Astyanax mexicanus: one gene and its partner. The protein of the gene in region 1 purifies or fractionates together with the protein of each later gene. This does not show direct contact. Links are inferred from orthologs where the notes say so. Each region holds a gene or a part of one and is shown on either strand. Other genes may lie near its edges. The genes, in order: sost and lrp5.

Evidence for each region.
Region 2: the proteins of sost (region 1) and lrp5 purify together in Homo sapiens (affinity purification with mass spectrometry; 3 studies listed by BioGRID and IntAct, counting the BioPlex papers as one, with this or other methods). This does not show direct contact. The link is inferred for Astyanax mexicanus from reciprocal best matches to the Homo sapiens genes SOST and LRP5.

What each region holds. Positions count from the first base shown.
Region 1 is NC_064422.1:28,977,977-28,994,835, reverse strand, and holds sost (sclerostin), read right to left. Parts: upstream 6,618-16,859; 5' UTR 6,508-6,617; coding exon 6,255-6,507; intron 3,457-6,254; coding exon 3,041-3,456; 3' UTR 954-3,040; downstream 1-953. UniProt on the Homo sapiens protein: Negative regulator of bone growth that acts through inhibition of Wnt signaling and bone formation.
Region 2 is NC_064417.1:10,260,400-10,277,001, reverse strand, and holds the start of lrp5 (low-density lipoprotein receptor-related protein 5), read right to left. Parts: upstream 8,831-16,602; 5' UTR 8,638-8,830; coding exon 8,580-8,637; intron 1-8,579. UniProt on the Homo sapiens protein: Acts as a coreceptor with members of the frizzled family of seven-transmembrane spanning receptors to transduce signal by Wnt proteins.

The DNA of each region.
Region 1 (16,859 bases):
GCTGTGGAACACTGTGCCAGGTCAGTGCAGAGTAACGAGTGTGCGTATGGCCGCCGTAACTCAGGGCAGATGCTTTGTCAGCATCAATTTCTTTAGGTAGTACTCATGTGTCGCTCTCCAACACTTGTTCTTAAATTACTTGGGAAATGTCTATGCCTGCCAGCTGCGTTTGAGTGAAAGCATGGCATGTAAAGTGACTCTGGATACGGCTTGATTGTGATATTGAAAATGACTGTAATAGATGAACCCGGGAGATTAGGTAACTATTGTTGAATATTGGCTCAGGAAAAGAAAGCCATTCAGTCTGGAAGGTCGTTCTTTCTTTTCCCCCCTAAATTTTGGGTTCCTCCTCTGTGTTTGATTAGCCCCTATTTTCCACAAAGGCCTGCCATACATTACGTGAAAGTTTGGAAAATGCTAATTTGTATGATTTACAGCATAAACACCTCATTGAGTTTTGTGCACTGCACAGGCTGGAGCTAGTTAGCCGCGCGTTGGGAGTTCCTCCACAAGCAGCTTACACGCAGCACTCGAGTGTGTAACAGACATGACAAACACAGAGGCCATCAAGATTAAGTGGAGTAAGAAAAGGCTGACAGTCGTACTCTTCTTTACGCTTTAAAGCCGGGCTCGTGAGTAATACCTAAAGCCTGTCAAACAAACGGCTGAATGGCGGTGTACAGGCCGAGTTCCCCGTGCTGCTGCCGGGACTGAACTGCTCATGTCTGACATGCCAGTTCTTTTGTGCAAATTCTTTTTTTCTCGCCTTTTGTAGGCATCTCGCTAGACATTCCAAAGCGCAACAAAGCAGCCACTTCCCAATTGCAGCGCATTGTTTATTGAGGCTTCGCTGAGAGACAGGGCTTAGCGTGCAGGGGCAGCCAGAGAAGCACTCGTGAAAAGAGTCAGAAAGATAACAAATACACAGACACAGACAAAGACACATACACGTCTTTCTCATATACTTTGCTTTACTTTATTCTCTTTTTGTTAGGAAATTCACTATTATTTCATATAGTACAATAATGGCTATTTTCTACAAAAAAGGTTGCATAAATAATTTAAATGTTGACATTAAAAAATAAATATGCAGTTCGTTCTTTGTACGAGTCCCTCTCCAAGCCGGAGAGGGCGTGGGTCCCTCCATTGAGCAGTTCAGTCATTTGGAGGGCTTTACGCTTCATGAGACCAAGCAGGTTCAGTATATACAGTCAGGCTATACATGGTGATTCTGCTTACATGATAAAAACGTGAAAACATGAAAAAAGAAATCCCTTCCAGTTTCTAATTCAAACACACAATTGAAAAAGAAGCAAACACAGTCAGTACTGTTTAGAAAGCAGAGATGGGGAGAAAACATAATGGGGAGAAAACGGTGGTGTTGAACAATGTGTGGAAGTAAGCAAAATATTTTTCATTCAGTCATGGACTGGAGGCAGGCGCGCTGGATATCGAGACAAATAAAAAAAGACTTGGTTCCAGACTGGTTCTACTGTACATCCGGCATAATATCAACATACACCCACATTCACTTCAATTCAGTATTTCATTTTGTCTAGTCTCATAGCTTAAGCAGGGTTGTGAAAAAAAAGGCAGAAGGATGTTTAGGGAATGGTTTCTTGTTTTTGGCGAGTCCAGTCTCTACATGCATGCCACTTTTCACGTTTCACATTTTTACTGAAGGAAGTTATGGAAAGAGGGCGGGTTTGCAGAGCAGCCATTCCTCAACCACATTTGATTTTAGTATCAGACACCTTCCACTAAATACCTTCTTTGCTTATATACTGTACACGCTGTGATATATATATATAAGTGAAACATTTCATAATGGCGAGGCAAACATGACTTTTACATGACTTTTAGCTAAGATGTACAAGCACAACTTTACACAATTTTACATTCTGTACAGTGCTTCCATTTAAGGCTCATTATTATCGGACTTAGATCATCGATAACACCAACCACCCTGTTACTGCAACTGACCAATAAAACTACAATGGTTTCCAGAAAAGTCTTTTAGGTATGAACAGGCCCAATTGTTCCAGATTCCTACACACATGTGGGCCCCTTTTTCTGCTATTCAGACAAACAGGAACTGACCACGTCTAGAGGAAATGGCTTTTTATGGCCCAAGTCCTAAACACAGGAATGGGACTCTTTAGTAATTGGGACAAGTTGGGTCAGTGGAATTAGTGCTCTGGGCCCTAGGGGAGTCATGATCATGGAGTGCTGACATAACTGTTCCCACTCTCCATCACTGACAGTGGGCTGGCTTCAGCTGACAGCTCCTATAAGGCTACTTCTGGAAAGGTAAAGGCTGTGGGAATTCTGGTGGCTGGCTTAATATTCCCAGCCTGTCAAAGGAGCTCCAGGGTTGGAAATGCTGGATCTCAGCAACGTGTCATCGGCCAGTCATCCCTTGGGTCCGGCAGCCCTGGGCAGCTGGACCGTACGCAGCTACACCATGCCCCAAATGTGATGACTTCATTTCAGTTATGCAAACATTCACCTCGGCCACAAGTTCGGAGCACTGCTGGTGGTGGATTCGGTCATGCTTATGGCGGTTAACTTCAGTGTCAATGTTCATCTCAGCTAACCTTTTAATGAACTTCAGGAAAGTGAACTGATTGTTGGATTGGGTCAGAGAGGCCCTCCACAGGAACTACGCCAACTACCGGGTTTTCTAGAGTAATCTCCCACAACAGCGTACCTCCTTTCAAGCAAAAGTCCGATAAAGTCCTCAGGAATTTGGTAATCAAACATCTGTTTTCTTTGGAATTATTCATTGTGAAAGGGTCAGGCAAACGGTGAGGCGTTTTTTTTAAACACGCTGGAGACGTGAAAAATGAATGTAAGATAGCTTCAGCCGCTGCTGAAAATGGCATTTAACTCCATAAAAATAATCCTTTTTTAATAGATATCTTCAACTTTCTTTCCCTCGAACTTGAGCACTGGCGTTTGGGCAGTATGCAGTAATGTTTGTGAGTATGTGTGAGAGTGAGAGTGCATGTATACAAAGAAAACCTCCTCCTTCTCTTCTTCAGTAGGAGTTGCTGCTGATAGTCGGCTCTCTGCTCCGGCCTCGTGTCTGCTGGACACGTGTGTGCTTCTTGTTGCGCCGTGTTTTTTGGGAAGGTTCCTTGGCGTCCGACAGATTGTGGTGCCGGGTGTAGCGTTTGCACTTGCAAGAGGTCACCACTCGGATTTTGTAGGTCCTGTTCTGGCCGCTTGGGCACTGCAGCTGGACGCGCTGGGTGCGGGAATGGGCCGGAATGCAGCGGTAGTCAGATGCGTTGCTGCGCCACCACTTGCTCCGGAGGATGGAGTTGGGCATTAGGTGAGCAGGCAGACACTGGCCCGAACACACCAGCTCCTTCACTGGCTTGGCACTGCGGCAGGAGCCGTCGGTGATGTAGCGGGTGGAGCGCAGTTCACGACAGCTCAGCTCTGAGGCTCCTGAACACACAAGGAACACAAAAGAAACAAATAAGACCAGGAACAAATTGTACACTTTGTTTTGGGCTACATTTACATTTACTTATTAAACACTGGTATGGGGCTGTTGATATGTGGGCTCTCCAATTTTCTAGATATTTCATAATCTGTCTTCACAGTTTAATGATTTGTAATTGCCGCCCACTAGGCACATCCTTTTACATGCTACCTGTGCAGTGAAGGCTAGTGTGTGCTTCCTCCAATTAGGGTTGGGCAATTAATAAATAAAAAAAAAGCGAAAAAATCAGAACCTCTAACCAACTTAATTTAAGTTTATTAAGTAATATTAAAATAGTATAAATATCACTTTATGAACTTTTTATATCACTTTTTGAATTTTAATACAACACAATCCGTCATTGGATAGCTGAACACTAAATTCCAATTCTTTTACGTGGGCTAATAGACGACTGCACTGGCTAGCATCTTTAGAGACAAAAAATCCAGTCATCCTTATTCTATAACATTTTTCCTAAAGCCAAGAACCATTTAAAAACCTTTATTTATGTTGCTGAAGAAACCTTTATCATCATTTGGAGTGGGATTGCTGGCACCTCAGTGGGAAGTGTGAAGTGAATGAGATTTATTTTTCAACACCTGCTATTTTTTCTTGGTTTAAACATAAAACTCAGCCCTGCTCAAACTTTATCACGTCAGCTCCAGGCCTACATCCACAAGCTGTTACTCATTTCGCAGTGGCTCCTCGCTGAATTACAGCAGAAAGCGTTGGAGGTGTCAGCAAAAGCAGTGATACTGTGGAGGGATCTGTTTCCTTCTGCAGCTCTGCTCACACACAACAACAAAGGATTTATGTGTGTGTGATGAGTTCAGGTTTTCTCTCCCTGCCTTTCTACAGAACCTGATCTGTTTTATGAAGGCCCAGTCGTAGCGCTCCCCTCGCTGTGAGAGTGGGAAGGGACTGGATGCCGGCCAGAGCGAGGTCAGCACATCCAGCATAACCCCAAACTGTCCACTAGAGACTGAACACAAACCCCACTTGGGGATGCAGGGTGTGTGACGGTCCTTTACAGATTAGCTTATGATACATGCCTGTTGCCTTAATTCCATTATCTTCATTATATAACTGAAGTATAACAGGCTCTGTCTTTATGGATTCAGTTCTTGTGGATCTGTTACTTCAGTCACTTTTTTCTGTAATTCTGTTTAAAAAGCACCAATTTGGGCTTAATTTGAACACTCCAGCTACTGAAGTATTCCCAAACTGAAGCATTAAATGATCAGAAGGGTGCTGACAACAATGACGGCCATAATTCAGGTGAAAACTCAGCGAACGGTTGAGTTTTCAGCAGAGCTTAGTAACCACAGGTGGGAGTCATTCGCTAAAACAGTGTTGCATTTAAATAACAATTTTCAAATACCCTCAAGAAATTTCCCCACAGACTCTGACATGCTCTTCTACTTGAGAACATGCTGATGCAATTAGATAGTTATGTAGACCTTGACTAATTGTATAAAAGTGCGGAAATGGCAGGAAAACACTGAGTTATCAGTACATCACCTGCCTGAAACACACAAGTGCTGATTCCTCTCGCACTTTCATATCCTGCAGGAGGACTCAGAAAGATGCAACGGTGTATTAAAATATCTGATACGATACACTCTATTAATGTATGGAAAGAATACTGAGAAAATGTTCTAAAAACTACAAAAGTGTAGTTATTACTACAAATTTAATAGGATGTAAACTGTTAAAAAAAAACACACTCGCTTCAGTTATCTCGTTTATCTCTGTAAAACGATCTCCCAGCTTTCAGTTTCACGCATGTTTGTCCTTTGCTACAGAGAAGCTATGCCTGACCCAGGTTTTATCACCCTCGGGGGCCTTTGGGCAGCCTAAACCAGAGGATCGCCATCAATGAGCCTTAACCCAAACCACACATTTCACACAGACATGGTGCACATTCTCTGTTAAATATAAAGAATCTTAGAAAAAATGGTTTAAACCACTTTTTAAAGGACTTTAAAGGAAAGAAAATATGAAATTTACACATTCGTTCTCTGAAATTCATTTTAAAGGAAATAAGGGGGAAATTTGTAAGGTTCATTTCCCAGACAGGGATTAAGTAATAAGTCTACTCGTATTTTCCTATCAATTGAAAATTTCCAATTTAATGACTAAGCTTAATTCCTGTTCAGTAAGTTGTAAGTTTGACTGTAAGTTTTATTGTAAGGTAATGTCAAAATTTCATTTTGGACTATTTACAATGAAATGTTCTGACATTATAAACTGGAGAAATTGGTAAAATATATATATATATATATATATATATATATATATATATATATATATATATATATATATATATATATATATATAATTATTATTATTTATGTAAAAAAATAAGATTTCAAGGTTTGGTCCCTACAGAGGAGGCCTTCGTTTTTACTGCTAAAACTTTTTGATTCAGAATAACCTGAATTACTTTAAGTAGAATAAAAGGCCAATCCTATGTGAGAAGTTTTTTGTAAGTAAAGCTTAATATTAAAAAAGGGTTGACTTTAGCCTTTAAAGCAATTAATCGATTATTCAAGCCTTCTCACTGAACTAATTAATCAAATCTGCAGTAATTAGCATGTGTATATCAGCTATTTAAACGTCAGAAGAGCTAGACAGCTATGACTGCTAGATGTCTAATTCTCTTCAGAGGCTTTTAAATGTGTGTAAATGAAGCTGTTTTGAGGGGTTTGAGTAAACAGGTAACTATAAAAGATGATTTGGTCAGAAATAGGTTACTTGCCGTAAGTGGGGCTGTTAGCTGACGACCTCCTGCCCCCGTTCTTCGCCTGGTTCATGTTGTTGGTGTTGGTGTTGCTGCTGTTGAGGGGCTGCCTCTGCTGCTCTGGATGTGGGGTATCCTCGGTGTACTCCTCCAGGAGCTCTGTGGCATCGTTCTTCAGGGCTCCCCATGCCCCAGCTCCACTCAGCCAAACCTGCAGCAGCAGCAGCAGCGGCCACGAGTGCACGAGCAACACGGATACAGACACGTGCATTTCTTCAGCTTCACTCAGGCAGGGCTCCTCTCAGGGTTTCTCTCAGGGCCAGCTTCACTAATCTCTCCCATCCGGCAGCAGCGCGTCCTCCTTAAGTACCTCCGCGAAGAGCCGCGACAATTAAAGCGCTCAGCCGGAGAGGGAGGAGGAGCAGCCCATTCACAAAGTGATGGGGAGGAGGGAAGACTGTGTGTGAAAATGTGTGTATATGTGCGTGTCTGGGCATGCATTCAGCTATTTGTGGGGACTATAATTGTGTCCTCAGAATAATGTTGTTATAAATACACGTATAAATAAATTATAATACATGTTTTTGTGCTAGAATTAAGGGTGAGGCTAGTTTAGGTGCAGTACGGCAGCCCTGACGAAGCTAATACACATTTCAAAATCAGTTCCCTGCAAAGACAGGAAAACAGGAATACGTGTGAGTGAACATATGCATGTGCGCGTCACCTAGAGATGCCTGAGGTATTTACCACCTTGTGGGGACCTACACATACATACGCATAAAAAACCGCACAAGAAAAACTCAGGCCTACATAAGATGTTTACAGTGTAAAATGGAGCTGGGCAAATGTTCAGGTTTGAATTTAGTCAAATTGTTAATTTGTTTATGAATTCAAAACAGAAAGTACATATTATCTGCTGGTTTTGATTTGTATAGATTATTATAGATTAGAGTATATGTGAATACGGCCGCTGTTATTGATGATACTGTGTTTAAATATCCTGAGGAATGGACCAATAGAAATGCTGCAAAATATAATTGAATTAAATCTTTTTTTTATATTTGTCTATTTTTGTATATTATAAATATATTTGTATATGTATATTTTGTGCACAACAGTGACATAGATCAATATATTCAAATATAGATCAATATGTACATTCTAGAACAGCAGCTACATTTTGTGTCTCCCAGATAAAGCTTTTGCCATTTTTCAAAAACAATATGCATTGAAACATTTTGGAATAATAAAGCTAATTACATGAATTCTCCATTTTTAAATAATGTTTGGTGTTTATATTATGCAAAATTCATTCAATTAAACGAGTCCTCTCCTCACATTATTGTCTTATCATCCTGATTTATACATTTAACTTTTAATTAGCTTTTATATGAATTAATATCTTGTTTATATGTCGTATCTAATTTTCATTTTTGTGCTTACTCTATTAATGCCAATAACAAATATTTGTAAATACCTTTTTTTCTGTGCAAGTTGTTATTTTAGTAATTAAACAAATAGATGTCTTTAACACAAGATGCCTGTAAAAAGTTGTTATTTCTAATATAAAAATATCTTCTTTGCAACAAATCTTCAAGGAGCTCCAATAAAAAAAAAACACACACACACACAATCAGTGATGTCACATCCTCTGGTGGAAAAATGTGGAAGGCAGTGAAATATGTCAAACTTCTAATCTCATTATGTAATGTTATGTATATTACATGTTGAGGATTCACCTATGGTATATTAATTATTGGTCAGATATTTTTATTTTGATATTGAATCAATCTCCCCTTCAATTTCTAGGAACAGTTTAACAATAACAGAGTGGACTGGTGAGTACATTTTTAATACTACCAACAGTTCTAGAATGGCCCATGAATAGAGGACATAACAGAAAACAAAACAAAACAAAAACAGAAAAAAAACATTCAGTTAAAATTAAACATAAAACATAAAAATTTTATATTTTAAAAAACGTCCAAAATCAGAGCACAGATTCCAGGTTTTACAGCTTTTCGTTTATAATAATGACTGTAAATAACATCCATATCTGTAATAAAGAGACAGAATATACTTGTTTGTACTTTACACATATGTTCACAGCATGTGCATTATTCTTTCAGATTTTTTGTTAAACCAATTTTTCCCTGCAAAGTTACCATCTTTAGAATGAAAGGTTTCTTTGTGAAGTCATAAAGGGAAATAAAGGGAAAACTAACTGGAGAACAGTTTTAAACAACACTCCGCTTCATCAGTCTGTATAAAAAAAATGTTTAAAGCAGCCTTTGTATATAGTATATAAGTACCCCAATTATATCAGTATATAATTACCCCAACTTACTATGCAGTAACCAGTAAGAGAACCAGCTTATCTGTCAGATCTACAGCCTGTGTGGTTAGAAACTGACGCTCAAGCATACTGAGCTATAGATGTGACATAATAAGCTCAAACCAGTATGACACTGACTCATTTGTACAAATGCTGCCCTCTTGAGGGAACGCAAACATACAGATTATTTAAAACGGGTGCAGGAATCCACTCCACCATGGCTTGCAGCAACACCTGACCTACTCTGGTAAAAAAAAAAAAAAAAAAAAAAAACTTTTTTATTGTGGAAATGATTGTGGGTAGTAATATATAAGTGTGCTTTCTAATGGCTTAGCAGAAAAGGGTGGAGTGTACCTAAAAATGCCATTTGTGGGTGGGGTCAATATAAATATAACATACGGTGTGTAACAGTTTATTTGTCAACACATTAACACATTATTATAAATATTAAGGAATGTTGATCTTCACTGTAATGTTCTTTTTTGTTCATTTTAAACAACTTTTTTGAGGTGAGGGGTGGAGCTGTGTTTGCCATATCTGCAGTGCTGCATGGTTCATTTGAATGGTTACAAAATGGATAAAAATATATCTATTTAAAGTTTCTAATTTTTTTTTACTTCATGTCCACACTATTGTCTTGGAATAACCAACCGTTAGATAAAATAACCACTGACATCAGTGAAATCACAACCTTCACACTGTAGAAAACCTTCACACTGTAGACTGACTGAAGACACTTGCTGTTCAACAATTAATATTATTTATTTTACCTAATATTTCTCATATTTTTTCTGAACTTATCTGAGATTTTAAGATCTTAATCCCCTTATGGTAAAATCTTAAAAAAATATTTAAAATGTTTTTAGAAAGAAATCAAAATGAATCTTTGAAAGAGGAAAAGATAATCAAGAACAATGTACAATTTCTGGGACTCGAGGCCAAACATGTTTTCATCAAACGCGTTGCTAAAATTGTCTTCGCTAAAATTGTCCACCCCCTCATACAGCTTGCCATGACAGGATGGACATACATTTTTTTAAATAAAAAGTGATTAACCTTAGAAAATATGATATCTGTGTAGTCAAAAGTTAGAAATCAGATAATATGTCATTATATAAATATGATAAAATAATTTAAAATCTCAAGTCATTTTGTGGAAAGTTCTGAGCATTCTGATAATGGCCCGGCATCTAAGTTTAAAAGCAGACATTTTTGTGCTGTCGTCTCTCGTCTGATCGTCGCATTGTCTGATCATATATGGAACTGAAGCCTCTGCCACACTGCGGGAATGAAAGGGAAGAACCGAGTGTTTGTGACTCCTCATCTGTCACTCTTGTCAGCACAACAGAAGGGAAGGATCCCACTGTCCACCGCGGTTCCTCGCTGATTGCACCCTGCGCTCGCTCTCTGTCATTGACGGACTCTTTTTATACCTCCTTGGGTTTGTGTACCGAAATGCAGGACGGAGCCATGTTCTGTCATGATAGCAGCTTAAAGATAAATAACCCTCAGATGTGGCCCAGATTTCACTCCGGCCGCCAGTAAAGGATATTTTTATAGGAAAGAAGTAACACAATGTTGAAGTCGCATAAACAAAGTCTTTAACTCCGCAGGACTGACGGTGAGAGGCCTTCAGATGGATGGACTACTAACAGACTTTCTGGCCACACAGTGCTGAAGAAACGTTGTGATAAGATGATACTGGGTCAAGTTCTGGCAGATGTGTTATTCTTGCAAAGATGTTTTTCAGTCCTGCTGCGTCTTTCCTCTCGTGTGGGGAATTTACATTCTGCTAAAAAATACAAGGTTTCATTTCTGCAGAATAATACGCTTAGTTCCTCACTGCAGAGAATTGATTTTTACCAGGTTTAGATTATTTTTCTAGGAGATGACAGCTGTATGCTATAGGATATATTTTTCACTTTATTTAATTTGACATTTACATTACACAAAGTTTGACACTATGACACATTCAGGAATTTTAATTTATTACAATAAAAGCAAAAAAAAAGTAAAACACAAAATATTTTATGTTTTATCCAGTCAAATTCATTTAATTTGTCAAAATTCAGCAAACATTCTGTATTGAGGACAGGTCAGGACTGCAGGCAGGCCAGTCCAGTACCTTTAACCCTGCGCCTTTCATAATCCACATGCCTTAGTAATGCGTGCAGTTTATGGTTTTGCATTGTTTTGTTGAAAAATGCATGGACGTACCAGGAAACGATGTTGTCTTAAAGGCAGCATATAACTAAACAATCGAAGACATCAGTGTACTTTATTAGTACTTAATTATTGCTACCATGACAGTTGTGTACTGCCACAATGCCTTATGATGCCTTATTGGACCTGTTCCTGATAAAAGTCTGTATGATCTTTTCATTTTTGGTCCAGAGCTCAAAGCATCAACTTCCTTCAAAAAGATTTGGAGTACTGATTTGTCTGACCACAATATATGTTTCTAGCATTTGCTGGTCTATCCTAAATGCATTTGAGACCAGTTTTAGTTAATTGCTGCTTCCACAATCCCCCAAGCATGACTGCTGCCTGTACTCAGCAAAAGTGTGACATCCTTTGATAAATGCAGGGCCACCTTTATAGACATTATTTCCTAGTATATGCCTTTTTTAACACTATTTCCCTAGAGAAGAGTTCATTTTTCATTTTTTTTATATTTTAAATATTAAGTGTGACAATGCTTAAAGTATATAGGTTTTAATCAGAAACATCTTATGAATATATATGTATATATATATATATATATATATATATATATATATATATATATATATACATATATTTAAATAACTGATTATCACAGGGATTTATCAGTCGACTCATGCTTTAGTAAAGCTTAGTAAAATAACAGATTAAAAACCTGGTCCATAGACACATTTATCAGTCTACTCATGCTTCAGCACAGCACAAAAGTGTCAAAAATACAGCCCAATGACTAGAATTAAAAGTTATATTCTGGGTCACTTAATGAACTTAAAACTCATTTTCAGTAATAAAAATATTGGAATGTGTGTAATATGGCCTATTATTCCTCCTACATGTTTATTTATGTAGGGAATGACCGTTCTTAAATATTATCTCTAAGTTTTCAGAAAGTAAATGTAAAATGTCCAGACTATTAACCTATTTTTGTGTGCAAAATAAGTGAGATGAATACGGCATATTATTTCCTGGAATGTTTTGCTTCATTTTCTTTTTTGTTCCAAAAAATCCAGAGGCTGATTTTTCAAGTATGTACATACAAACCCACAAATCTGATTAGACACCGTACATCTGCAAGACTTCATCGTTCCACAAGATTAAGTAATGTATTATATTTCGTCCAGGGTACGTTGGGTTAAATATGAGAGAACAGCTTCACTCTAGCTCAGTCATGTGTTTGGCTTTTAGCATGTTACGAGCACTTTGTGGCTGAGCCCAAACATATTAAAATCTGTCGGAGATTTAAAGGTTATCTGAAGTTGCATGCTTTCCCACTGTGAGGCCTTCTGATTTCCAAACTGAAAACAACACATCTGGACTCACTGAACACTTATTAACTCGTAATGCGTCTACTCATCATTTTTAAAACTGCAAGGTGAAACTCTGAAATCACACTTCTATAGTTTTCACAGCATTAATACTGTATAATGAACTACTTTTTTTTTACTGTAGAGCCTGCATAGGGCATGTTACTGTAGATCTGCAAAGCATCATGGTCAAAATTCAGTGAACAGTTCAGTCATTTTAGAGAAGGTTTCTTTTTCAGCTGTTTAAACAAGAATCCGTCTTTGCTACTGGTACATTTTCTATTATTACCAACTCATCATGCAGACAGAAAGACATCTTTATCTGCTGCATAACGACATAAAAAGCTATAGCAATTTAGATAATATGCAGCTGAAAACATACAGGAAAAGGCAGCCAGTCTTAAGGCTTAACAGACATGCTAGTTTTCGGTTACCTCAGCTTGCTAACAAAGCTTTTTCAGCACATATATATTTCGAGTGATACAGATTGAATCTGTGTCTGTGAAGATGTAGTAACTGATACCAAGTGTGAAAAGTGGCAGTGAAAGTTTTCATTTTCTTCAGTTTATTCAGGTAAAGTGTATTATTGAACTTCAACGTGGAAGTTTCTATGAAAATGCTATGTTAGGTACATAGCTAACGCTAGCTGCACTGCACTTGGAGAAAGAAAGGTTGGAGAGGTACACCTTTCTTAGTATGTGAGCATATTGTTTTATAGGCACTGTGAATAAATATACAGTATGCACACTTTAAAATGTACTTATTTATATTATTGTATATTATTACAGTTACTATTCTTTTTGACAGTGTAGCATCCACTTAAAAGCAAACGTTCTAGTACCCTGTACACTGTACACTTCACCAGCTCCACTGTGCATGTGCCTTGTGCTTAAAGCAGCTCATTTGAGTTTAGAAACAGTGGAAACCTCAGCTGTGGTTTAGTAAACCTCACAGACCGCTGGGTCCATGTGTTAACCACCCTGCTCTTGCCCTCTCTGTACCCAGCTTAAACTGACATTCCTGCTGCAGGTGCTATTCTTAGCAGCTCAACTAATTAGCCAGCAAATTATTGCCTCCAAATGTGCAGCTCCTCCGACAGGTTTTATGTGTGTGTATTTTTTATTCTTTTTTTTAACAAGACTCTCACACGGTGCCTGCTTGCTCGCAGGGAGCCTCATGCATTCTCTAAAAGATGAGGTGACATAATAGCCTGTCACCATATGATCTCCTGTGGGATTTGGGGTAAAAGACATGGATTTCTTGTGGTTTTTCGCAAAACGAAACATGTTGTGAGCTTGTCCCAAGAACCTTGCAACATTGCTCGAGTATTCATCAGAATCTTTGGTTTCAGCTTGACTTTGTTACAGTCCAGATCACTTGTTCTATACCAATCTGAGTCCAGAAATTTCTAGTGAGATATTACAGAGCAACGTTTCCCATGCCTCGAAATTCCCCCCGTAATTGGTTTGGCATTGTCAGCTCTTCGCCGTGACCTATGTTTACCATTTGATGTTCTTCGTCAATGTTATTCATTAAATGGAAAGACCTTTGCTTTATAAGACTGTGTTACACTCGGGCCATAAATTATGCACGCTATGTTTGTATAACCTCTGCTGATGAAGGAAAGAAGATGCTGGTGTGTATGCAGTGCAGCAACTGGGCCAGGATGGAGGTGCTGTCAGAGATATAGCGTCCATATGGTCTGTAAATGAAGTTCTCAGTGTACTACACCAGTTTTATTAGCAGCGCACTGGAGCGACAATAGGAATGGCATGTGGGTCAGTGGCGTCTGAATATCGTGCTCAGCTGGACTTTAACTCAACTCAGCAAATAGAATTAAGGTCTATGGGTTGGTGCTGTGTGTTGTAACCTCGTCAACCAGAAAATATTGTATTAATAATGTATTCTGTATACTGGAATGTCAGTTATCTTAAATAAATGATCATTTATGAATTTGCACATTGAAAAAACACATATACAGTGCAGTGTTATAGATTTTTTATAACATTTTCTGAGATGATTATTTCTTAGCATGGGCCAGCAAATTTCCATTAGGTATTCATCGCACATATACACTACATGTATCCAAGCACACTTCAGGAAAATCTGAATTGTTTCTCAAATCAGATCTGTTGACAGAACAGTCCACATTCTTTTTTTTACAAGTGAACAGATCGAATTTGTGTATAGACACTACAAATGTATCTTCATGGTTTGTTTTGGTATTAAGGTCAGCATCAATTACTATCCTTCAGTGCTGAGCTTGGACCTCAGCACTTCCATCGTATTCAATTTGATGACGTTGTTGTTTAACTTTTTATGCATCAGTTGCACATGCACAGCTTAAGTAATCTCCATAAAAAAGCATCCCCAGCAGGTACATATGAGGTAGCAATGGGCATTTCTGGTCCTGAAGGGCTGAGCAGTTTTTTTTAAAGTTGAGTATACCCAAATATCAACACTATATTCTCAAGACCTGGTAGGTACATCTAAAAGGGATGAGCTTCTGACAGCTGGAACAATATTTGATTAATATATACTATATACTTTAAAGTATTGGTGTATAGCTTGCAATTAGGAGCAGCCTTTGCTTTTCCTGCTCAAATAGGTTTAATAGGTCTGTTAGAGCAGAGAAATCAGCAAACTGGGCTGAACCATTCAATACCTTTGTGCTCCAGAACTAATCATTAATCATCAATCATCAATACCTCACACGTTAGTTACATGCAATTAAATCTGCTTCATTAAATCCCCATCTAATTTACACTTTTAAAAATAAAGGTCTTTCAAATGGTTCTATGAGCAACGCTATAGAAGAGGTACTTTTGGTTCCATAAAAATCATATTTGCAATCGAGATACCCTAATAAAAAATCAAGAGCTAGTTAATGAGGGTATGCTTTTTCTGGAGCAGCTGGTCTTGAGCTTGATTCTTTAGCAGGGATGTGTATGCGAATGTAAAGAACCATTGAAAGATCTTATAATGTTCTTCTATGGCAACAATTAAAAGAACAATTTGAAGCACCTCCTATCTAATTCCTGCATGTTCTTGTTTGCTTCTTTCTGAGGTCTGGAATCATTGGGCACCAGTCCATTGCATCTATTCACATCTACATTCTTAAAAATAAAGGTGATACAAAGGTTTGCTTTTGGTTTTATAAAGAACCATTCTTGTAATAGAGATGCGTGAATGTGAAGAATCATTACATGAAGACAATGCCATTTAAATCTCTAGCTCACACTCATACATTTCTAATATGTCAAAAGTAGTTCTTGATGAAGCCATAAAAAGTGTTTTTTTCTGTTATTGCTAAAAGAAATGTTTGTAGAACCTTTGCTGTTGGCAGTGTAAAGGCTATTCAATTAGGTTAATTCACCTTCCAAAGGTGGAGGTGGAAGGAAACTGGAGATCTATGCAGACAGAATGAGAAGACACAAAACTTCTCATAGACAGTGACCTAAGCAAGGACAGGACCCACAAACCCCGGTCCCCTGGAACTGTCCAGCACACACTACCTGCTGCACCACTGCCCTATCCTTTTATTTATGACTGCTGAAAGTCAAAATTTGCTCAAACTCAAATCAAACCAAAACAGATTAAAGACCATGTTGTCTTAATAGTTCATAGTAACATAAGCTACTGCTCTGAAAACCGGACTGTTAAAGGGCTTGGCTTGCTGAAGGTGCTGAAGTCTGGCTGCAATGTGGTCCATGCTCCGATGTTTACGTTGAGGAGAAAACTTTAATTCATAGCATGTATGACTGGATGCCTGTGATCACATGGCTCTTTGAGCCTGAATGGCGTTTGCGGGACGTGAAGAACTATTTCATTGGGTGTGATTTTTGTAGCGAATGTGTTTGCTAGGCCGACAGCTTGGCTATGAGTACAGCAGTGTGCTTAATCTTTAGCAGACTATTTGTCATAAGATCAGTAGGGTCAATTGAAAACACAGTGAGTACACACTGACGTGTGCTTTTGATGACAGGAAGGCACACAGCACACTTGTGTGGAATGTCATGGTTTCCCAGAATACTCCAGGAAGGTGCGTTAATTAAGCATGAAAGTATAAACAGCTTCAGCTGCCGAACATGCGGAATTTATGTGGGGGAAAACAAAGGCAAGAGACTATTTCGAGAGCAGATTAGAAACGACTTCACAAGTTTGCCTTTTTTACGAGATTAATAAAAGCAAATAACGAGCATTCGAAAATAATTTCGCCCGCTTGTATCTTGTCCTATAAAGGCTAATTATAAGCAGAGCTCGTAAACAGGGTCATGTAACTGTCATGTGAAGGTAGCTGATGATGGAGTCTGAGGAGAAATCTTTCACTGGCCACCCACATTAGCCCAGAAACAGGTGGACACTACTGGGGGGAGGAGCATTTCTCACAGAGGAAAAGTACTTGCTTTTGCAGCAATGTGATGTCACAGCACTTTCTGTTTCGCTAAGCTTTCGTTTTTATTTTGCTTATGCACATAGTTATATTTAGACAATCTATATTCTGCTGTTGGCTTTATTTATTATTAATATAAAACTGAGGGAAAAAAGGCTGCATTGAATCTACTTGACTCATTTTCACATGGATAAACCTGGAATAATGCAGTATGTATGTGGCAAAAGCACGTCAGTTGAAAGAAAAAAATGTTTTTTATACGTTTTAGAGGATGTATCCATTTCTATTATTCCCATATATGAAAATATATGTCACTCATGTTTGCAGCAAGGAATGAGAATTGATGCAATTAATTTAAATGAAATAAA
Region 2 (16,602 bases), on another chromosome or scaffold:
AAAAGACTCCAAACACCTAAACACTGAATACCTTTGCCTAAAAAACATATTTCCAAGCACACCTAAACACATCTGAAAATGTTATATATAAATATACATATATATAACCAAATGTATTATAGTTCTTAAAACATTTACTCAAAACGTATGTTTTATTAAGTACTACTAATATAACTAAATAATAATTATAATACTCTACTCAGTATTTATAAATATTTGCTCATAATTAGTGCTGGCCGATTATTCCCCCCAAAAAATCAGATTTTCGATTTACATACACATACATACAAAATTAAATCTGCTAGATATTTTTTTTGTTTTACAAACTGAAGCATAATAAACATTGTTTTCTTCAGAAACATGATATGGTGCTGAATATAAATGCACTGCAAAACTTGACACAGACAAACTCTCAAATACACTCTGCCATCTAAATGCAGCCTCGCTTACATGAGCTTTATTCTCACTTTATTTCCACAGAGATGCAGATGTCGGTCACTGCTCATCTCTGCACTCCATGTAGTGAAAAATTTAGTTTTCAATTTTTGTACATCAAGCTTCGGCCAAGCAAGCTAGCATATGCTGGAAAAAACAAATGATCTGTTAAATGGTGAAGGTGTAAATTCAATAATGCTTTTATTCTGAGCCGATCATGACAACATAATGACGTTTTCAGAACATAAAGCCACACAAATGTAGTATATATGTAGTGCTGGGGGATTTACAGCTCACACCTGGCATTAGACAAGGTGCCAATAGGTTTCTGATTTTCTGCTCCAAAGACTTCTATTCTATTTGCAGTACCGCTCTAATAAGTACTAGACAAGCTGTGTGTGCATTTGCACATCTGTATCAGCACTGGGTGCACTGGGTGAAACTGAATGAAGAAATTGGAAGAGATGTCCAAAAACATTTGGACATGTAGTTTAGAAAAACCAAGATACAAGTACATAAAATGTATAAAAGACAAAACATGTCTTTAATACAATATGCTGAACATGTTTTATGCTATTCTGTGTATCTGAACCTTTATGAGTTTTACAGAACAAAGTACAGCACGTCTTCGTTTCCTGCACAAACACCATCAACAAATAAGAGCTGTTTCACTGTTGATCTGACCTGTTCCATAATACTTTTTTTTTAAAACAAATAATTAACGCAAACATCTTAAAAATCTATCAACAATAATCCAACAATATTAATGTTTCAGTTCAGCCTAATGGTGCTTCAGAATCCAAGCCTCTCAGCAATAGCGAGCAAGCAGCTATTCCTTTAGTACAGAGGCAGAAAGAGAGTGAAAAGGCTTCAGAATACACAGCAGGCAGTCAACACATCTCCATGAATTACCATATTGGACTTTTGTTCCCAGGTCGTCATTAGATTAAGAATTAACCACGCTGAGTTCACACCTCTGAACAAAGCAAAACCTCAGATACATAACCAAAAAAGGAAGAAAAAAAAAAACAGACAAACACTCTTCTACACTTTCCAAAAATAGAAACAAAAAACAAAATGCAAATAAGATTTTTTTACAAAAGATTTGATTAGTACACTGAACATTTCATACTAAATAACCTGAAAGAAATTCTCTTTAAATAAAATCTCTGTACACTTCAACTTAATAATGATAAAAAATATTCCTCCTGTTGTACCAATACCAAACAGAATTGTGAGTCTGCCTGGGGCACAAATGGAACTGTGACCAACACTGACCACTGCAAACTCTGATATAACTAAGCAAGTAAATACAAACCTCAAATTGAATAATTACTGCATGGGTGATTATATTTCAGCTGGCAACAAGTTATTTAACCCTAACTGATGCAGTGAGTAGCTTCTCATTTGTTAAACAACCATGAGGAAAGACACCTGTGGTCTGTTTTAGAAGAATCAAATTATTGGCATTCATTAAGCAGAGTAAACATCTAAGGAGATCGTACAAATAATGATGTGATGCAACAGAGGACACAGAAGTTCAAGGCAAAAACATTTTTTGACAAGGTCTAAATAAGGCCAAGAGGAAATAGTGGGATATAAAAGGAAAGGAGGCGGAGCAGGAAATGAGGTTAGTTTGTTAGAGGTGTTAGGAGAGTAAGTGCTCTTTGAAGAGCTCTGTCTTCGGGAGTTTCTTAAAGGTAGTCAGGGGCCCTCCTGCTCTGGTAATGGAAGGTAGTTTGTTCCACCATTGGGGAATATTTAGTTGTACAAAAACTTCTGATCAAACAAATAATTTAAGGTATTCATATTTACATTAAAGGTATTTAGCAGACGTTTCTTTGTTTACTTTGGAAATATCCACAGCTAATTCATAGAGACTAGAATCAGAAAGACACATCAAGCTTTGACAATGTTTAGACACAAATTTTTAGTTGAGGAATTCTTTAAAAAGATGAGTCTTTAGTTGGGGATGGAAGGAGATCCTGACACCCAGTGAAAGTTCGTTCCAGGACAGAGTCAGGGTGTATGAATTCCACCGGTACAGATCTAGTTTTAGGTCCGATTATGGCTTTGTAGGCCAGCGTCAAGGTTTTAAAACTGATGCTGGCGACTAAAGGAATCTAGTGGAGGGAACGCAGCAAAGGAGTCACATGACTCCTTTTGGAAGATTGAAGATGAGACGTGCTGCAGAGAGACACGGTCGAATTCTCTAAATGTTATAAAGGAGAAATCTGTATGACTGACTGAGATTTGAAAATCAATGTTTGTTTAAAAAGACAACTAGGTTACACCTTATATTAAAACAAAGTAAAACCTACTTAAAATTCACATCATACAAGAAACTACTCAGAAAATAAAATGCACCAAAAATCTGCAGATTTGGTTGATATTTATCATATAATTAATCTTGCCTCCATTGTTCACATCATTATACACATGAGAACTCATCCTGGATTTGAGTACTATGCATTTGTGACACTTAAAAGGACATTTCAGCATTAATAAATCTCCATCTGCAGTATAAAGACCATTGGCACCGAAAGTAATTTCCTTTCACACAAAAAAATCACTCAAAATTTGCATATAATAAAAACCAATGCTTAGTTCAATTAAGCAGTTCTGCTAAAAAAAAAAGTAAAGTAAAGTAAAGTAATTACAGCTTTACTACAATCCTATTTGTTTATCTTTTCAACATGGTTTTAGTTTAAAAAAATAAGAAAGTTTTGTGCATGTTCTCTAATATAAACACTATATCTAGTGTTTATTAGCAACATTAGCCTAGCCTTTCCCATTGTATACTTAAGAAGCAGATGCCAGATACCAAACATGTTTTGAGTGATGGACTGAATCTAAGGTCAGTGATCAATCAGAGCACTGTAAAGAACCACTTAACCAAACCACTTAAAACAGAGCTTCCTAAAAATACACTTGTTCTATATATACACTATACATATACTTGACCAAACGTTTGTGGACAACCCCTTTTAATGAATGTATTCAGCTATTTCACATTGCACCTATTGCTGACACAAACATGCAACTACACACACACACACACAAGCGCGCACACACACATGCGCGCACACACACATGCGCGCACACACACATGCGCGCACACACACACATGCGCGCACACACACACATGCGCGCACACACACACATGCGCGCACACACACACATGCGCGCACACACACACATGCGCGCACACACACACATGCGCGCACACACACATGCACATGTAGAGAATTACTGCCAACAGGACGGAATACTTTTGGGATTATTTGGAAAGTAGGGGCTGAGGTGGGGTAGTGATCCCATCCAGCATCCTGGCCTCAATAATCTATACTGAATGCAAACAAATCCCCACAGCCATGCTCCAAAATCAAGGAGAAAGCCATGCCTGGATATGAAGATGGTTACTCCAACAAAAGCAGGGTAGACTACAATTTAATACACGTGGTTTCAGAAAAGCAGGTCTACCAAAACACCTTACTATATAGACTAATCAAATATATCATCTGTCCAATGCAATTATGTGCCGATATGGATATGGATATGGATATGGATATGGATACGTTTCCAACACTATTGAGTATCCCAGGTTAAAATACTCTGTCAGTCTGTGACAGATTATTAACTGACTATACTGTAGGTGTTTACAAAGCACTGCAATAGAGGAGCCATTGTTTTCAGTACTATACGGAACTAGGACTGTCACAATAACAATCTTCCGTGAATGATACATCATTGAGATTATTGTGATAAATGAAATTTAAATTATTTTCAGACCATTACATGCAATTTATATAATGAATATAGAATTGCAAAACATAGCAATTATACCTTTTTAAATACAACAATTTTAACTAAATAATTTTGTGAACTAATTAAATATGTGAACAAACATACAAATAAACATAATAGACAATATTATGATTATCAAATATTATTCCGGTCATTTATTGTAAGATAAGTCGATAGTGTAATTATTGTGACAGGCCTGTATGAACCCATTCTGTAAAAGTATCGACATTAAGTTTTTCTTGTGTTTAAAGAACTTTGCTCTTATTCTACTGTGACATGCATGACTCGAAAGGAGATTTTGCCAGGCAGTTGGATTTGGTACAACACACATAAAGGCAACTCACAGAATTGATAACATTCTACAAATCACTCTAGTGTCAAACATAGGGAAATTCTGGAAAAATGTGATGACGATAAGACCTGGCAAAGTTCTTTTATCTGCGCAATTAAGGGGGATTTCACACCTCCCTTGTTTGGTCTGAAATTTCTAACTTTTCAGTTTGGGTCTGAACTAAAGTGGCATTTGTTAAAGGGGGCGTGAACCACGGTCTGAACCAAAGGACCAGAGTCTGAACCAACCAAAAGAGGCTGATTGAAAGAATCTACTAAATCATGGTCCAGTTTGTCTGCAGTGTAAAACACTTTTTTTAATGGTTCTAGATGGACTTTCAGAGCAATTACAGTAAGTTGAATTAGTCCCTAAACAAAGCAGAAGAAAAAATAATTGTTGTGCTGAAATCTGACTCTCCCTGGTGAGCAGGCACATCACACAGCAGTATGAACACAAATGCTTATACTGGGAATTAATTCATTTACTGTAACAGTAGATTAAACCTTATTTATAAACTTTTTCAAATTTATGAAAAGGAATCTGAGGAGAATCATGTTCGTGAAGAGAGATTCTGACAGAAAGCTACAATTCATCACAACACCTGACAAAGCAACTCACCAAACTCATAACTAACATTTTACAAACCAATTCATATGAAGTATAGAGAGACTCCACCCCTGTAGCTGATGACAAAAAAAAGAATATAGCACTGTAACACTGACACAACAGTTCATTATAGAGAATGCAAAAAGTCCTGTTTGAAAAATTGAAAAATGTGAAGCAAAAACTCAACAGAAATCACTGTGCTATGGATGACAGTGTATTTTAACAGCAATTTTACACCATTATTAACAGATTATTTATTTTTCTGCATTTTCTATTTATATGATAAAAAATAACTTAATCTGGTCTCGGCCTCAGACACTGCCGGTCTTGATCTACTGGCAAGGTCAAGGCAAGACGAAACATGTCACTGGTTGTGGCTTTCATACGGTTCATATCAAGCCCTAGTACAAAAAACATCCACCTTGGATTGGACTTTCAGTGTAAAAATATCCTTCACCATAGAACCCCTAAAGACCCCCCCCCCCCCCCCATTTAAAAATTTAAAATGGTTCTACAGCACCAGTATTGGGTCTGGGTTCAGTACTGTTCTCTTTTTCAGCACAATACAGACTCTTGTTGCTTAGTGTGCAAGTATTGCATGCTCTATCCTTACACTGCAACCGTAAGCATTTAATTTTCTTTTAGTTATGAAATTGTTCACAGGCTTAAGTGCAACATGTTAACCTACCACAATGACAGGGCCCAAAATCTAATCATATAATTTAAAAGTAAAAAGTAAAAAAGTAACAAGAATTTCTCATTTTGAAGTTCCTGTGAGAAAGCTAAAGAACAAAGCTCAGGTCCAGATTTCTACTGGACACCCGCAGCCAACGCCCCAGTAGATGTCTTCAATTCCACCACCAGCTCACCTGGTTTAACATCAATAATCACTGATTTACCAAACCAGGTGTTGGGGACAAATCAAACTACTACTAGACTCCCATGAAAAGAACTTTAGAGATGTTTTAATGAACAGTGATGTATGATGTGATCTTTTTCTGCACATCATAAAACAAAACAAAAAAATAAAGCCAAAAAGACTAAAAGACTAACAAAAAAATGATCACAAACTACCCAAAAAAGGGGGTCTCATTTAGATTTTCACAGGGGACTAACATTTTGCACAGTCCTGTATCTCAATGAGTCCAGCCATCTCACTCCCGATACTCAACAAATCAGTTCTGATTAAAGAGCCCATATGACAGAAAACCACAGAGTGCTTTTTAAATAGAAGACTTAACTAAAATGGCTTAAAACCACACTCTAGACAAAAAGCTTCAATATAGCACTGCAAAAATATTTGTTGTCCTTTTTTGGTGCTTTCCATTAAACCATTTCTTAAATATTTCTATATTAATCATCTTCCATCAACACAAAGAATACTAACAACACATTTTGCTTCAGTCAAGAACCCTTTTTGGCATACCATTTATACCCCAGTCCTTCTGTACAAACTGTTTTGGAGAGATCACAAAAAACACAATGCATTCCATCATTGTATATCTGCCTATTCAGTCTACATCAGTTCAGCTCCGCCCACACGCACTCACATTATAAGGAGTGTTTCAGCTCAGAGTGCCTTTTAAATTAGGCAGCCAGTCAGAACATAGGTAATTTACATATCAGTCTAAAAGTAATAGCGTGGGTCACGGTACGGGATAAAGAGATTGGTGCAAAAATGTATTCTGTTTTTGGATAATAAATCAACACAAATATTATTACTGGAAAAATAGTAAGGAAGTTGATGAATAAATACACCTTGGGTCATTAAATCACAGTAAAATCCTAACAACCTGAGAAAATAATCTATAAAGCTGTTTGTTGTTATTTCTGTACTGCTCTCCTGAAAGGTGTCTAGTATTCCCAGTTCCCATCTAATATTCAGTTTATCTAATCTGTTTTTCATTAAATGAAATCAGATGTTTGAACAGCACTGAACACACTTCACTCTCTGAGATCAAATGTAATATGTCCAGATTTATCCAATTTAAAATATCAGATAACTGATATTTAACCTATTTTAAAAAGAAACTATTTTTGATAGTGTGTAATTGTTTATTTACACACAAAATACTACTCTCCCCCTTTTTATATCTGTGTGCACTTCTGAGTCTGCTATTCGACACCAAGGCCAGGCAGTCAACCCTTCAGCCTCATTATCACTAAAGTAACCAAACACCTTGTGTCCATACTTCAGAATAAGAGAGTAAATCTGAGGTAAAACAGTAAACACTACCCCTAAATCTGAATAAAACTTTAGTTTACACATGTACACGTTTTTACACACTTACACATTCCACAGCAGCTGTGGAGCAGCAAGGCTTCAATCCACCCTAAAAGTAACCGAACCCAGTTTAAACATGCAGCAGGGCACTTGGGAAATGTTTATTTTCCCACATTTTTTGGTCTTAGTGAATTCAGCTTGAATGTGTGTGAAGTGTATGTGCTGTAGAAGTATTTAAATTTTGGTACCACATTTAATATTAAAATCTGAATTAAAGAGATTAGTTTACACAGTGTAGGTTTTTTTTTCTGGATATCCAGCTGATCTTAAGCTGTATTTAATATTTTAAGCTGCATTTAAAGTTAAAGTTGAATCTGGGCTAGGCTGAGCTGAATCTAAAAAAAATGAACAGAATTTAAAATAAAACCCGTGATAAACCTGATTTAAGTCCTAATGTAAATAAATCCTATGTTGAGGCAAATCTACATGAACTTTGAACCAAATCTGAGCCAATCTATGTTAATCCAACTCAAATGGACAAATCTGAGCTAAATCTTAACTAAAACTGATGTAACTCTAATCTGAATCAGAACCTGAATTAAATTTGAGCTGAACTGAATCAAAAGTGATTGTTTTGGCACTCATGAATAGAGCAAATAGCTTAGTTATTCTATTAATTGTGTTTTCTCTATAACAACTTTGTTTTTAACTGTATATGCAGGTTTATACGATTTTTAAAAATCATTATAACTGTGTTTAAAGACGTTTGTACTTCTTTTTATGGTGACAAACTATAGAGTATAAAAATGCTCAATTTAACTTCAGGATTACCATCTAACTATACCTTACATTTTTTTCATCTGTTCCCAAATAGGGTCGTTTACACCAATATCGTGTTTTATAACATTTAATTCGGTTTCTGATCACTTTTACAACTCCTGCAGCTCCATTTTCTCAGTGCATTTTCAGCAAATCCGCCTCCCAGAAAGTGTCCACTAAGTACACAATCACAGTTTAAACCAGTTTTAAACCGAATTAGAAACCGGTTCCTCCATGTGTTAGTATTTAGATGCGTGTTATACGGACTTGTACGCTGTTTACACGGCTTTAATCCGAGTTGCGGGACTTTTAGCAGCGATTTTCAGCACAAAATGTGAACAAAAGTCCTTCACTCACCGCACAGCACCGTCACACCGCAGCTCAGCAGCAGCAGCTGCGCGAATAAAAGCTCCATCTCGGGCCGTCCTCGCTTCAGCTGCGCGGCTTCAAATCCATGTTTCGGGTGGCTGGCGGGTCAGAAAAGTCCAAAAGCAACTTTTTAGTCCGCCTTGGAACCGCGAAAGTACTTTTATTCCGTCCGAGAGAAACACAGGACCGCGCTCTCTGTGTGGCTCCTACAGGGAATGACAGCGGAAACGGGTTCTGACGTCAGCGCCTGGGATCGTACTGATTTTTCTTTTTGCACCTGTTTTGGGGAGAGGCCCCGCCCCCTGCAATGTAATTGGCGCTCGGAGTTCACACTTGCCAGAGCCCTCGCGCGCAGCCTCGTCCTTCTACAACGGGAGGTGTCTCTGCGCATGAGCAAGAACTGCGAGCTCCAAGTGAGCCAATCAAGGCACGGAGGAGACGGGACTTTCCTGAATACGGGCGGGAAATAAAAAGCCGCCACAACTCCGGCGTGAAAAATACAACTCTAGATACAACCATTTAAAGCGGATTAAACCCAGAGCAACATGCAAATAGCTGCGTAATTCAATATAAACTGATAATGTTTGATTAAGATAAAGATATTTTAAAAACATTAAAAAGGTTTCATCTGAAAAAAAATCTAAATCAAATATTGATATGTTTAAGATGTTAAGATATTTTTATCAAGCATCAAATGGTTTCCACGGTTGTTATAAAACAAATATTAGTAGCTATTCTTGCTAAGAGTGTTTAAATATTTTTGTATTATTATGTTGTTATTATTATTATTATCATAATTATTATCTAAACTGAATTTAAATCTAATCTGGGTTGACTTTAATCTAAATCGAGTCAAATTTGAATCTGATCTACGCTGATCTGAATCGAAGCGAAATTTAATTTGAAACAAAAACTGAGTGAAGTGTAATTTTGAGCTGAAATTAATCTGAATCTGATCTGAGGTAACAGGGTATCTGAAGGTATTGAAGGAGATGTTGTTATTGGGAAGAGACATTTTGGATGTGGTTCTCTCCAACAGAGAAGAGACTGCCAGGAAACGGGTTGGGAAACATGGAGGACTTGTGTGCATTTGTGTGCGTGCGTGTGTGTGTGTGTGTGTGTGTCTACCTTTTGCAGGTCTGAGCCAGATTAAGGGGGTTAAAGTTCAGTTTAAAGTTATAAATTGATTGACTTGGTTTAGACAGCAGAACAACTTTCTTTACAAGGATTTCTTTTCTCTGATAAGCTTTCAGTCTCAGATTTCCAAGGCTCCAAGGCCTCTTACTAGTAAAAAATGGAAAAAATAAAATGTCCTTGCTTTTTTTTGTAAGAAGTGTAGTGCAGATCTTTGAGTCTAAAAATTTACACATTGTAGCTATGAGATTACATCCATGAACAGATTAATGGTTGACTGCCCACCAATCAACCCAGAGCAGTTTAACTATGATCATTCATGCTGCGTTTACTCTCAGTATATCCCATTTGTGTATTAATCAGTATGTTATCAGTCTTTGATTGTGAAATGTGTAGTACAGATAAAAGTGGAACTGGTCTGTTTTTGAGTGCAAATATCCCATAATGCAATGCAAAACGAATAGGGAGAAGCTACTTATGTCTAAAACAGTACTATAAAATTACACTGGCAGATAACAATGCAAATGCTGTAAAAATTCACCTGGAGAACTTGTTATTGTTATTGTTACTAGTATATACATTTTACAGTATTAGTGTGTAGTTCTTATTTAGAATGCAGCAAAGGAGTGTTTCAGAGCCATTAATAGACCCTTCTTCCATTGCAAAGAGGAACTGGAACTTTCAAGCATAAGGAAGATATAATAAAAATATATTTGAAACAGAGAAGTTCATTTAGTGATGACACAGGATGCTGCAATTAGAGGAAGCATCTAAAAATCCCCATTTTTGCCAGGAAGACTTGGTTTGAACACAGTTAAATGTATTAATTATACAAAACTGTGTTAAATTGAATTGAACTGTTCAAATTCCCACACATTCTTAAAAAAAGTTGTAATGATAAACCATTTACTCCTTTGTTGCCATCGCTTTTCTTGGCGATGAAGTTCTATTTTTTCAGCTTGTTATGATAACGGGCTGTAGAATGTGGTACAACACAGGGCAGACAGAATTAGTCTTAAATACTAAGCAATAGCAATAAATAGACTAAGTGAATAAGACCATGACTGGTTTCTCTTTTAAGTCTCAGTTTCTCTCAGTGGTTCTTCCTCCTGCTCTTAGGCTTTTTTTTAAGCCTTTTTGGCTCTCAGAGGCTGCTTTTGGGTAGTGTACCTCTTTGTGAGAGATCAGTGACTGGTAGGCATGCCTTTATGATGCATGTTTTTGAACTGTATCATTAAAATGAGAAAAGCAGGATGGTCATTTTGACACACTGTCTGCCATCTAGGCCAGGAGTATAAAATATATGTAATAAGGTCCGCTTATGAAATATTCACTACGTTGAAAGTCCATACAGACAAACATGCAACATAAAAATCAAAAACACTATAATGGCAGAAAGTATTAGGACACCTGCTTATTTGTTGTTTCTACTTCTTTTTTTAGTTTATCCTGCTTTTGTTAGAGTAACTGCCTCTATTGTTTACTCCACCTCATCCATAATTTTCCAAAAAATCCAGAGACAAGTTACACTGCTTCACAGCTCAATGCTAGAGGGTTTTACTATTCTAGAACTAATTCAATACAATACTTAAGTACTAAATTGCTGCATCTGTACTGTATACCTTTTTATGTGCTGCATTAATGCTCGTTACCATTCTAAAAAAGTTAAAAATGTTTCAAACCCACATTATCACTAAAGCCAGATAAGTAGATCCTCTGCACTGTCTCCAGGTTTGACAAAGCTTCTCATCATTGTGTAAATCAAGCAGATCTTAAAAGAAGACCTTGTTGCTCCTGTTTCTCCTTTCACTGAGAACTTTCAACTGCTTAACATATAACACGGTACTGTTCTTTTACTTGCAGTACTCCAGTACTACATTATACAATAAACTACATGCAATACTTAAGTACAAAAATGTTAAATAATTTAGTTCTTCTACATTTACTAAGTATCCAATCACCTGCGCAATGCAGTCTTTGGTAAAAGGCTTACATGGAGTTGCTCGGTCATGGAAACCCATTCCATGAAGCTCCTAATGCTCTGCTGTTCTTTAGCTAATGTGAAGACCACATTAAGTTTGAAGGTCTGCAGTGATTGATTCTGCAGGAAGTTGGTGACCTCTGCACACTATGCTGCACACTAACAGAGATAGTTGCTTTCATATCCAGTCGCTTCCACTGTGTTATAATATCACTGACAGTTGGCTGTGGAATATTTGGTAGTGAGGACATTTCATGACTGGACTTGTTGCTATCAGGGTATAACACTGGAGCTTACTGAGCTCCTGAGAGACCCATTATTTCACTAATGTTTGTAGAAGCTTTCTGCATACCTAGCTGCTTGGTTTTATACACCTGTGGCCATGGAAGCGATTGAAACCTGGGTCCAATGATTTGGGTAAGTGAAATATCCCTTTAAAGAAGAATCTTTAAGTCTTATTTCTCTCTGTGACTTCCAGTGATGAGGTAAACAGGACACTTGGAGTGCTGTGGACTAGAATTGTATGATCTTTAATGCTGAAAACAGGTTCTGTATGGGATCTGACGATGGGGGCTTTAAGTATGAAAGCCTTGTAGTGACACTTTAATCCTGCTTTTGCTGTGGAGCATCACTCTGCCCCGGCTGCTGGTTGGATGATCTGGGGAGCCAATTCATACAACAAGCGGTCACCCCTAGTAGTGATATGAAGGACACTAACAACTCAGAGATATGTGTAGGACATCCTGCAGACTGGTGTTGTCTCTCATAGCAGGGCTTCTAACTGCTATTTTTCAGCAGGATAATGCTCACCCACACACAGCAAGGGTTTCCGAGGAATGTCTTTCGGCAACAAATCCTTGGTCTGACTTATCGCCAATCACTACTACTACTTCTACTATCACATCTAGTAGTAATATTAGTGATAATAGTATATTTTTTTACTAAGACTTTTTTAATGACCGTTATTTATGTCAATTAAACATATCTGCTGGTTAAGATGGTTAAACATTTGCCACCCTTGTTGTTAAAACAGTCAGAGAGAGAGAAAGAAAGAGTGCAAGAGGTCAAACAGGGAAAGAGAGAGAGACAGGGTGAAAGAAAAAGAGAAAGAAAGTGATTGGGTTTAACAGGGTGAGAAATAGAGAGAGAGGGAGGGAGGTAAAGAGAGGTGCGTGTGAGAGGAGTGGGCAGTGATTCAGAGCCCAGAGAAAAATGCCATAATGAAACCTGTCTTTACGGTCACCTGTGCAGAGAGGCCTGCGGCGCTTGCTTTGATCCACCAGGCCCTGTCCACAAATAAAACTCTCTCTCTCTCCCTCTCCCTCAGTTTGTGTTTTATACGCCTCAGAGCTGGAGCTTGCCGGCCAAATCGCTGCCAAGACTGAATATAAGACATAGTTTGTGAGGTAATGAAGGCCATGTGGAACAGGTTCTCTAAAACACACGGCCTCCTGCAGCAGAACGTCAGCAAGCTCAACGCTAACACCCTTTCAACCACCTACCACTACCCACAATACATCACTTTAATATTACAGTCACATAACCCAAAAGGCCCTGATTTCCTGCTGCTTCAGACGGCCAGAAAACAGGAATGCTATTGTTTTCTATAACAGAAGATAAAATATTAAAGAGATACTTCAGCAAAAACAACAACCCCCCTTTACCTCATATACACACGCATCATACACTGGACTCTTCTATGAACATTCAACTGTAAACAAGAATATTAAAAATATTTTATCCTACTTTTGTTAGCGTAACAGTCTCTACTTTACAGGGAAAACTTTCTGCTACATTTTGGAGCATTTGCTGTGAGGTTCAGATTGCATTCAGTGACAAAAGCATTAATGAGGTCAGAATGTTGGATGGATGATCCGTACCTCACTTCACTGCCAACTCCCCAACTCATGCCATAGGTATGGTATAGAGCACCATTATTTCAGAGAACACAGTTCCACTGCTCTATATCTCAACGCTGTAGGGTCCCGTTAGATCAAACATGGCATTGGGTAAAGTGCCAATAGGTTCATGTTCATCTGCTCCAGAGAGTCCTATTGTATTAGTAATGGTTTTCTACACAAAAAAGGAATGCTATGTGTGCATTTAAAAGAGAGTTATCTCACACTCTATCATACTGGTCACTGGAAGTTCAACATGGCAACTCATGGCAAATAACTCTCTGAGGATTTAAAAAAAAGGATTATTGCTCTACACAAAGATGACCCTGACACTGTGCCACAGAACGGTGGCAGCAAGGTGGTGGATTGTCATCCCAGCTGGCCACCAACGTCAATAGACGTTAATTTTAGTTTGAATGTTGGTCATGATTTCAGATTACAAAAAAAAAAACATCAACATAACATCTTAAACTGTTGCGTGCCTGCACGGATGGTTTGGGGCTGCATGAGTGCCGCCGGCTGTGGGGAACTACAGTTCACTACCCTAGCGAACTTGTACTTTGCCATACTAAAGCAGAGCAACTGGGCCGCAGAGCAGTATTCCAACAATACAATACAATACCAACCCCAAACACACCTCCAACATAACTACTGCCTTGTTAAAGAAAAGGTAAGAAGGGGAAAGGTGCTGGACTGGCCAAGCATGTCTCCAGACCTAAACCTTATTGAGCTTCTATGAGGCATCCTCAAACAGAAGGTGGAGGAGTGCAAGATCTCTAACACCCACCAGCTGTGTGATGTAGTCATGAATGAGTGGAAGATGATTGCAGTAGCAAGCTGTGAAACTCTAGTAAACTTCACACAGTGCTGGAAAATAATGGAGGCTACACAAAATATTAACACTTTGGGCACAGTTTAGTCATTTTCACTCTGAGGTGACTGTGTGTTGAGCTATTTTGAGGGCACACCAAATTTACACTCTTATACAGGATATGCACTGGCTACTTGACACTGTATGTGTCATATCTTCAGTGTTGTCCCATGAAAAATTATAATAAAGAATTTACAAAAATGTGAGGGGTAAACTGAATTTTGTGAGATACTGTATATTAAGCTAAGTCTTGGCTGATAGACAGCAATTGGTTTTGATTCTAGTTTCGAAATTGAAACAGCGCCACCATCATCACCCAGGAGATGTGTTTTTTCAGCATTCACTCAGTTTATTTTGTCTGGCACTGAGAAAGCATTTGAGTGATTGTGCAACTAAAGGCCAAACGCCACATGAAAAATGAAGCAAAAGCTGTTTGAGGAATATAGCAAAGCACTTTGAGGTCATGAATTCAGCCCACGAGTTGCAAAACGTTACTCTGTGGACGCATTCCTGTCTACAGTGCTAACGCAGCTAACGTTGCTAAAGTTCACACCAGTCTTAAAGCTGCACCCAGATTTGCTTTAATAAAAAACATATTTGTCTGAACCTCATTTTTTTCCTCCTGAACACAAGGCTCTCCCTGATGAGGCTGTCGTAAAGGTGTCGGATGGACGCCCTCATCAAGGAGGCCTTTGTTTTCAGGGGAGAAAAAAAACACTTTTTTTCTTTCATCTCCACCAATTAAACTTGCTGAGCGTTTCTCCTGCAAGCAGACACTGCATGTGCATCACATATTTCCAGGGAGCAATTATTGAGCTACAGATGTGGTCTGTTTATGTGTACCATCTTGTTTACACCAAAGCCTGATTGATACGCTCCTTTAATAAAATGCTTTGGCTCCATGGGAAAACGTGGCAGGATGAAGCTTATTGACTCAGAGAGGAATGCCAGACGCTTTTAGCATTCTTTTTAGCATGCATGCTGTTTATATCTTGAACCTAACTCACAAAAAATGTACTAATCAACTATAACATTCCAGACACCAGCCTAATATTGTTTAGGGGGGTCAATATCAATGTAACGTCAAAATATCCTTTTGTCTGCAGGATGCTTTTTCAAATCATTTAGGCATTTCAATTAGTCATTGATCTATTGTCATAAAAATATCAAGCTATATAAATGTGTCTAAGAACTGCCCCTTCAGGAAAAGTAACCTTTGATCTCATCAGTGATATTACAACTTTGTACTGTTTTATTGTCAAGGAAGTGAAGACACTTGCTATATGTTTAGCAATTAATATGAATAAATTTTCATTTTACTTAATATTTCTTTTATTTTCTCCATGCTCCACAACCTAAGCTGTCCACCCTGCCATGACAAAAAAAATCTAAGTAATTAAAATATTTTTAGAAAATCAAAATGTATCTTTGAAATCGAACCCTATAAGCAGTTTAATATGTTTGCAAAATACAGTGGCTTGCAAAAGTATTCATATCCCTTTAAATTCACATTTTAAAATCACATTTTATCACCTTAACACCAACATGGTTTTCAACATTTAAATCAAATAAAATTAATCAAAGTGCAAAAGTATTCAAAAGTCTTTTGGGGTATGTCTCTACCAGCTTTGAGCATCTCGAGACTTCTAGAGATTTTTGCCCATTCTTCCTTTAAAATAACTTAAGCTCAGCCAGGTTGGATGGAGAGCGTCTGTGAACAGCAATATTTATGTCTTGCCACAAAAGCTCAATGGTATTTAGATTAGGACTTTGACTGGGACATTCCCACATGTATTTGATCTAAATCATTCCACTATAGCTCTGGCTGTATATTTAGGGTCATTGTCTTGCTGGAAGGTGAATCTTCAACTTTGGTCTGATGTAACCACAGCACCTTTTTCCATGTTTTCTGTGTTCCCTACTATGGAGGACCAAAACTATAAATGATTAAATTAATAAAAAAAATATGTAATAATATGTAAATCATTTAATAAAAGTAATATGATGATTAAAACAGTAAAGAATGATTATAAATAATATAAAAAAATATATACACCTAAAAATAAATACCAAAATAAATAGTTATTTATGGGTTTCTTTATTAACATTGTTTAATTTTGTTACATT